Oryctolagus cuniculus: one gene and its partner. Each later gene encodes a partner of the first gene's protein in a complex. Links are inferred from orthologs where the notes say so. Each region holds a gene or a part of one and is shown on either strand. Other genes may lie near its edges.

Region 1 (4,506 bases):
GTCCCACGACAGCTGTGGGAGGTTAGTACCCCTTGGGACCTTGGCCAGATGCAAGTCCTTTGGTGACGATGTGTCATACATTCTGGTCAGTGCTCTCCTCCAAGACACCACTTTCTGGGCCTGAAGTGTTCTGCTGTTTTTTTGGAGGAATGAAAATCCAATCTCACATAAGCCGGATTCAGAAAATAGGTCATCGATGTGAGTTGCGGTTATTTTCTTTCCAGCTTCCTCCTGTGCTTGCTTTAGATTGCTTTTCTGCAAAGGGCAGGTGCTCTGCCCTGCCTGCTGGGCAGGCAAAGGGGGTGACGGCCACTCACGCCTCCGGCTCCTGTCAGGCATCACTCGGATTCCTGGGATTTCCCAGTGAGCATCTGCCTTCTGTCTGAGTTGTTAAATTCCCATGAAAAGAACAGGAGAAATATCTTTCTTGGGTACTGATTCTCTCTCTCTCTCTCCCTCTCTCTCTCTCTCTCTCTCTCTCTCACACACACACACACACACACAAAACACTTCATAGCCACTTGATTTGCCACCTGCAGTTCATAATAGAACGGAGCCATGGGATTATAAACCACTTTATTTCTGCACAGAATTTCTCAGCTTGAGGCCAAATTCAAGGGCATTAGTCATCAGCAAATTGCAGTTGGTTTTTTTTTTTTTTAATGTGTTTCACTCAGGAAGATTTAAGGCAGCTAAAGCTGAGATTTCCCTATGCTTTGGTGAGGAAGTGAAAAATCTGATCATGTAGTTAATCATTTGTCATAGCTATGGGCATATATTGTTCCTTAGTGACTGCAACATATGACTGATTGGGCAATCTGGTAACATGACAGTTTGAATGGTATTCGATATATCCCATTATGTTACGGTTCTTTTCTCTCTCAATATTTGTATATGTTTAAGATTTGAAATTCATAGAAAGTGGTAGAAGGAAACTTGAGGATCCACCTGGGTCTCTGCCCTGGAGGTTCGGGGTCAGCAGTTCTGGGTTTGAATAAGCACAGTGAGGGTGCCTGGGGGCGAACTTTGGAAAACCTGTGATTAGCTCAACCTCCTCACTTTTCAGATGAGGAAACCCCGTCACAAAGAGACTTGGAAAACTGGCCAGGATCACAGAAATACAAGCCTGCCACTGAATCCCAGGTCTTCTGGCTTCCAGCTCAGCGCAGGTTCCACGCCGCTAGGGAAGAAATCCCTCATTTTTCTTGTTCTGGAATTACCCTGGCTGCGTGGCTATGAGCCCTTTCAGCAGCAGCTGGGCCTGGTTCTTTAATCGTCTTCCCCGCGGAGGAGGGAGCCCTTCTGTTAGGATCGTGGGATTTTCCTGGCTTCATTGGCTCCCTGCTTGGCTGGGGTCCGGCAGTACCCACCCCACCCACAAGCTCCACAGGAAGTCCCGCCCCTGGCTCCCGGCGGTTCCGGAGTCTGACTTCCCCACTCTGGCTGCAGTCTTCCTCCTCAGCCCTAGAAATCTGTGGGCCCTAACCTTAATTTTTTTTTAAAGATCTATCTATTTATTTATTTAAAAGGCAGAGCTAGAGAAAGAGAACTTCCTTCTACTGGCTCACTCCCCAAATGCCTGGAACAGCCAGGGCAGGGCCAGGAGCCTGGAACTCCATAGAGGTCTCCCACATGGAAGACTTGATGCTTCCTCCCAGGAGCATTAGCAGGGAGCTGGATCACAAGCAGAGTAGCCAGGACTAGCTGAGCATTCCCATATAGGATGCTGGTGCCGCCAGGGCAGCTTAGCCCCCTGCACCACCACGCTGTTCCCTCTCCCTCCGGATGGAAATCCTAGCTGGATCCGGATCCCTCCACCAGAAGTTTCCTTGGAGGTAGAACTACATGAGCAGACGCCTAAATGCGGAGAAGGAGGTTGCTATGGGGCCCTGGAGGGAATGGAGTCAGGATCTGCCCCAGGCCGAGGGCACTGTGAGGGTTGGAATCCGCTGGGTGAACTGGGAAGAGGGGCCACCATGGCGGCGTGAGGGGGAGGTCGGAGAGGAGCTGGTATGGCAGCCGGGGCTGCAGGGCCTCGTGGCTTACAGCAGGGGATGCTGGACCTCACTCTGCGCGTGCTATGCATTTAACAGAGCTTCCTGAAGGGGCCTTTTAGTGGGGCTGCGGCGAGTAGCCTGTGGGGCCGGGAACAAGGACAGACGCTGGAGCCGAACACAGAGGCTGCGTTTGGGCCAGGGGCAGACCCGATGGGCTACCAGGCGGCCGGCTGGGCTGCGGTGCAGAGGGGTGCCGAGGGCCAGCTCCAGCGCCTTCCTCTAATTTCCCCAAAAAGGCCCATTGGTGGCTTGTGGTAGCCCTGGGAGGAGGATAGTGATAAAAGGTGCTTGGGTCATGAATGAGTTTTTCGAGTGGAGTTGACAGAACTTAATGTCCACGCACCAGGGGAGTTCATTGATTAACTCCGTAGTTGTGAGGGAACCTGGAACTTGAGGGAATTGAGAAATCTTGTGTATTTGAAAGCTCTCCTTCCCATCCTATGTGGCGTTCCATGGTCAAGCCAGCTTGTTTTCTGTTTGGCTTTATGATAGAGCCCAAGATGGCATTACCTTGGAGTAGTTTCTCTACCGGGGGTGGGAAAGGGCCATTTTATATTTATGACGTCACGCTTTGGCTTTCAACAGTAGCCGGCTGCAGGTTGATGGCTTTTCAAGTCCATCCTTCAATTGCCTTGGCTGGGCCAGACCCAGTGATTTCCCCCACCTTCTAAGGCCCCGGGCTGGGTTGCCTACCCTTGCAGAAGCAGCTTCCAGAATGTATTCTTTCCAGGGGCGCTGTTCAAGTTATTCATGGCTTTTGGAAAGTTTGGTTATTTCTATTAATGAAATCTACATTTCAGTAGCAAAATGGAGCCTTCATCTACAGAAGCTATATTGAGAAAGAAGCCAAACTGACAAATGGCATTATCACCAGCCCATGAAGATGATAACTTTGATCTGAGTTTCTAATAAGTCTTTTTAAAAAATGCTCAGTGCCATGCCCACTTATCTTTCCCTGCCTGCTCTGTGAGCTTACGGGGCCCTGGGGCTCCGAGCTGCTCTCCTGGCTGAGTGACAGCGTGCTGAGCCCTGTGTTCCTGACAGGTGCAGTGCTGTGCACAAAGTTGAGCAAGCTGCCTAGGCAACGTGGAGGAATCCTTGCTTCTGGTTTGCAGGTGGCATGGTTTGAACCCTGACCATTCTCCCCACACCCTCACCTACAGGTAGAAAGCCTGCATGAGAGAGAGGGCAAGGTCAATGGTATAGACATTGTGATGTGGTGTTAGGCTGCTATGAAAGGCTTACTTGAGCATGAGCCTTGTTGATAGTGCAATAGTCAATCTCATATGTGAGATGGCTGGAAGTGATGTTGGGCTGGTAGTGAGTATAGAATGGCTGTGCAGGACAAAAGGATGATTCACTTTCCAGGAGGGATGGAGCATAATGGTGGGGGATTTTATTACACTACTCAGAATGGCATGCAATTTAAAACTTAGGAATTGCTTATTGTGGAATAAGTTTGTTACTAAATTTAATGCTTTTGGATTGCAGTTGACCACAGGTAACTGAAACCTTGGAAAACAAAACCACAGCTGTACTGGGCTAGAACCTTAGTAGAGGAAATAGAGTTGCAGAGAGGGAGTCACCGGCACCAGCCAAGACAGATAGCTTAAAAGCTTTGGTGTAGATCAGACACTTGGAAGGCAAGTGGAGGACTTACAGCAGGACTTTGGTTGAATGTCCATCTTTATGTGGAGAATGGAAGTTGGCACAGGAAGTGATGAGACATAGAAACCATAAAAGTAAGATGTAGAGGAAACAAAGAGGAGAGAGTGTTGTAGAAAGATGGCAGTGGTGATCAATGGCTAATACTGTAGACGACGAGGACAAGGATTGAGCAAGTGTGTCATGTTTCATGACTGATGGAAGCTCTTAAAAGAGGGGTTAACGTTGTGGTGCAGTAGGTTAAACTGCAATTTGGAATGCCAGCATCCTGTATCCAGAGTACTGTTTCAAGTCCCGGTTACTCCTATTCTGATCCAGCTTCCTGCTAATGGCCTGGGAAGGCAACAGAAGATGGCCCAAGTGCTTGGGCCACTGCCTCCCATGTTGAGAGACCAGGATAGAATTTCTGGCTCCTGACTTCAGAGTGGCCCAGCTTTGGCTTTTGCAGCCATTTGAAGAGTGAACCAGCAGATGGAAAATCAACCTCTGTCTCTCTGTCTCTCTCTCTACCTTTCAAGTAGATAATTTTTTAAAATAACAAAAAGAAAGGAATTAATGGGGTAATTGGGTTAAAAACTGGATCTTCTACCTTGCGGAATATGCCAACATAGCTATACATTGTGTGTGTGTGTGTGTGTGTGTGTGTGTGTCTGCAGAGATGTTTACAGTTAGGAGTTAGTATATTTGGATGGTAGAATATTCTAAGTGTTGTGATAATTTTCTTCTTTTATTTCCTTCTTCTCCTTTAGTGTTCTATAGAGACCTACTTTGTTTTTAAATTTAA
Region 2 (3,803 bases), on another chromosome or scaffold:
CAGGTCGGCGGCCGTGTACCCGTCGCGGTCGCGGGCGTCCAGCTCCGCGCCGTTCACCACCAGGATCTGGCAGCACTGCAGGGGGCACGCAGTGAGGACCTCGCGCAGGCTGGGACCGCGCGCGCCCCCCCCCCGCCCTCTGCCCCGCCCCCCGGGCGCCCGGACCTCCAGCTCCCCGTTCTCGGCGGCGTCATGCAGCGGGGTCCCGCCCCACAGGTCCGCCGAGATCTCGCCGCCGTGCAGCAGGAGCCAGCTGAGCACCTTGGCGTGGCCGCGGCTCGCCGCGAAGTGCATGGCCGTGGCGCCATCCTTGTCCTGCTCCGACAGGCTCACGTCGGTACTGCTCACCTGGGCGGGAAGGGGCGTGGGCTGGAGGACAGGCCCCACCCCGGCCCCGCCCGCCCCTGCGCCCCGCCCCTGCGCCCCGCCCCGCCGCTCACCAGCCACACGATGATCGGGCTGTGGCCCATCTGCGCGGCCGCGTGCAGCGGGGTCATGCCGTCGTGGGCGCGCGCGTGCGGGTCCGCGCCGCACTCCTGCACCAGGTACTGCGTCACCTCCAGGTGGCCCTCCTGGCACGCCAGGTACAGGGGCGTGGCACCGTTCTTGGTCTGGGCATTCACTCCCCTGCGGAGACGCAGCGCCCACACGGTGGGCGGTCACCAAGTGTCTGACCCTCTGCCTTTGTCCTTAGTCCTCCTCCATCGGAACTGCCTCTGCGCACACACACACACACACACACACACACACCGGCCTGATTCCCACCGACAGAACAGACCCCGCCACTCTGCCCCGCCTGCCCTGTGCCTACTCCATGGCCAGTGTGCGGCTGACCATGGGTGAGTCTGGCCTGAGCCGGCAGCTGACCACAACACAGATGCTCAGTCAAATCTGAACAAACAAATAATGTCCTGCACACACCAAATATCGCACGGGCAGATGTATGTTAAAACATTATTTATCTGACATTCAAAGTTAATACTGGGTTTTGTTCTTGTTCATCTGGTGACCCTATGGGGTGGGAAGTATGCCACTGCGTGCCATGGTTCTACCAGGCAAGTTCTTTTTTTAAAAATGTTGATTTATTTCCATCTACTTGGATGGGAGGGAAGGGGGGGGAGGGAGAGAGAGAGAGATCTTCCCTCTGTTGGTTCTCTCCCCAGATGCCCACAACAGCCAGGGCGGGGCCAGGCAGGAGTCAGGCGCCTGGAACTGCATGTGGGTCTCCAGAGTGAGTGGCGGGCGCCAAGCACTGCCATCACCTGCTGTCATCTGGCATGCTTTAGCAGGAGGCTGGATTGGCGGTGGGACAGCCAGGACTCGAACCCGCACCCGGATAGGCACTGCTGGGGGGCAAGCAGTGGCTTGACACCAGGCCACAGTGCCTGCCCCAGGCAGATTCTCCGAAGTTCTCCTGCCATTCCCCGTTTTGCAGAGGGGGAGTTGAAGATAAGGCCCGTGTTGCTAAAGGCCGCACAGCTGGTGAGCGGTGTGAGTGCCCATCTGTCTGTGGGATGCATGGCCTGGCAGATGGGAGGGAAGAGGTGAAAGAGAGGAGAGTATGTGAGACCATAGCCCCCTAGGGCCTCTCCTTGATGCACTGCCTCTCATCCTGGCTCCCACAGCCCAGAGGGGTGCTAACAGAACTGGAACGCTGGGCTGGTCCCTAGGCTGATAGGTGCCGATGGAGTGCAGTTACCACAGTGGGGCACTAGGTGGAGCCACAATCCATTCCCCCACCAGACCCAGGAGTGCCCATCCCTTCAGGTGGAGTGGCTCAAGGTGGGGGCTGGGTGCTGTTCTGCTCTGACCAGCCCTCTCGGCCCCAGAAAAAGGTAATTCTTCAACCGGCTTCACATCCTCCCCTTCATCTGCCTCCCCCCAATCTGTCCATCAATGACATACTGCACCCCCACTCATCAAGGCCTTCACTCACTCCAACTGCTGGCCTCCATCTGTCCATCAACACTCACACCACGCCCCCCTCCTCCTCCATCTGCCCACCCAGCATAACTGGCCCCTCCCCACACACCGGGTCCCGCCCCCTGCCCAGAATCTCCACCCCCTTCCCTGTCCCCAGATCACCCCAGGCACCCACTTGCTGCTCTTGCCCTCCTCCTGGCATGGGCCATCCCCTTTGTAGGGCCCCGTGCTGTGTCAGGAGTTTGGGAGGAGCGGGTGCCAGGCCTGGCTCTCACTGTGTACACCCCAGAGCGGACAGCAGCCTGGGTCCTGCCCACAGGGTGCTCAGCCCCACGCCCCTCGCCCACACGCGCAGCCTGCTGCCGCAGCAGGAACTGCCTGTTGAATATTTCATGGGCGGCACTCAGCGGCCTGAATTATTCACCCCGTAACCAAGGCGCAGCAAATGCCGGGGTCCTGGGATCAGGGGCAGAGGGGACTGGCTTCTCTCTGGGGGTCCCAGGCAGTGTACAAGGACGGCCAGATCCGCAGCGGCCCCCGCCTGCAGGCCTGAGCAGCTGGCACAGCAGGACCAGAGAGAGCAGCAGGGCCAGCGGTGCCCACGGCCTCCCTCCAGGCCCCCACTGCCGTTCCCCACAGGGTCCCTGGCACGCAGGAAGCACTGTGCCAGCTTATCTCTGCCACCGTTAGCATCAGCCCCGGGCACTCACGACCCTGTTGGAGACATGGGCGGATGGGCTGAGGGGCCATGGTAAAGCCAGGGTCCCAGCCTTGCTCTCCTCTGCTCGCCTGGCCTGGTGGCCAGCAGACAGACGGGGACCCTCAGTCTCACTGGGGAAAATTCAAAAATCGTGGAGGACCGAGGACCAAGAGAAGAGAGTCCCCCCTCCCCCCGCCACTGGCGAGAGGAGTGAGTGGCTGAGCTCCAAGCTCTGCGGTGGGTGTGACGCACGCATCCCCTCACGCAGCCTCCACCACCGTGTGGGGCGGGTGCCAGCCGTGCTCCCCTTTCACAGATAAGCAGACTGAGGCACAAGGGCCCAAGATCCCTCGAGAAAGAGACATGAGCTGGCTCTGATTCCAGCTGTGCTGTGTCCACACCGTGCTGCCCCATCTGTCTGTCCGTCTCCCTCTCCCCTCCCTCTGCCCTCCTGCTCGGAGCTCACTCAGCTCTGTGTGGCCCTGGGGCGTGGCTGGGGGCTCTCCACGGGAGGGCCAGACTCAGACGAGGAGGCTCTGGCACGAAGCCCACCCCCACACTGTGCTCCTGTCTGGCCACCTTGCCCAGCCCACCTGTGACCTGCAATGGACATTCTGGGCCTGTGGGCTGGACCTGAGATACACCTGCACAGGCCTGGCGCCAGGCACACCCCTGGGGGCAGCCATTACGATACTGTAGGAATTCTCCTCCCTAAGCCCGGAGGGGACAGCCCCAGGGGCCCACTGCTGGCCTGGGGTGTCCAGGCCCTGCCAAGCACAGGTCAGGCCGGGCGCCACTCCTGATAGGAGGACAGGGCTGCAGGGGAGACCTCTGACCTCCAGACCCCTGCCCAGCTGTAGCCCAGGAGTTCTCGCCCCATCCACAGCGACAGCCACAGGAGTGCAGGGACCAAGCCCCGCCAGGGGGTTCAGCAGAGCCCTCAACCTGTCCACCGGCTTTGGGGACGCCCGCGCCGACTTCCACCTCCCTCCCCGGCCAGGCCTTCTCAGCTTCCTTTTCTGGGCCCTGGGTCCCCTCTTGACCTCCAGCATGGCTGCCGCCTCCTTTGTAAGGGGCTCCTTCCCTGGTAGGGCGGCCCTGTCCCCCGCCAGAGACGGTTTGCGAGCCCACTGTTGCTCACCTCTCCAGCTCAGGCCTGGGTTCTCCACCGGCCCCTGCC

The links.
Region 2: the proteins of MYO3B (region 1) and espin are in contact, whole or in part, in a crystal structure (PDB 5ET1), measured with the Mus musculus proteins. The link is inferred for Oryctolagus cuniculus from reciprocal best matches to the Homo sapiens genes MYO3B and ESPN. Residues at the interface, in XP_017174528.1 of Mus musculus: Arg1223, Arg1224, Gln1226, Gln1227, Pro1228, Lys1229, Met1230, Leu1231, Ser1232, Ser1233, Asp1236, Thr1237, Met1238, Tyr1239, Tyr1240, Asn1241, Gln1242, Leu1243; in NP_997570.1 of Mus musculus: Leu35, Ala37, His41, Arg45, Ala67, Asn69, Ala71, His75, Asp76, Ala79, Thr80, Asp101, Ser103, Leu110, Arg113, Phe114, Thr135, Thr137, Ala139, His143, Tyr144, Ala147, Thr169, Asn171, Tyr177, Leu178, Gln181, Ala203, Asp205, Met207.

The regions. Positions count from the first base shown.
Region 1 is NC_091434.1:70,939,792-70,944,297, reverse strand, and holds the start of MYO3B (myosin-IIIb), read left to right. Parts: upstream 1-1,435; 5' UTR 1,436-1,785; coding exon 1,786-1,835; intron 1,836-1,843; exon of another isoform or gene 1,844-4,506.
Region 2 is NC_091438.1:161,062,097-161,065,899, forward strand, and holds part of espin, read right to left. Parts: intron 628-3,803; coding exon 441-627; intron 349-440; coding exon 166-348; intron 76-165; coding exon 1-75. UniProt on the Homo sapiens protein: Multifunctional actin-bundling protein. Plays a major role in regulating the organization, dimension, dynamics and signaling capacities of the actin filament-rich microvilli in the mechanosensory and chemosensory cells.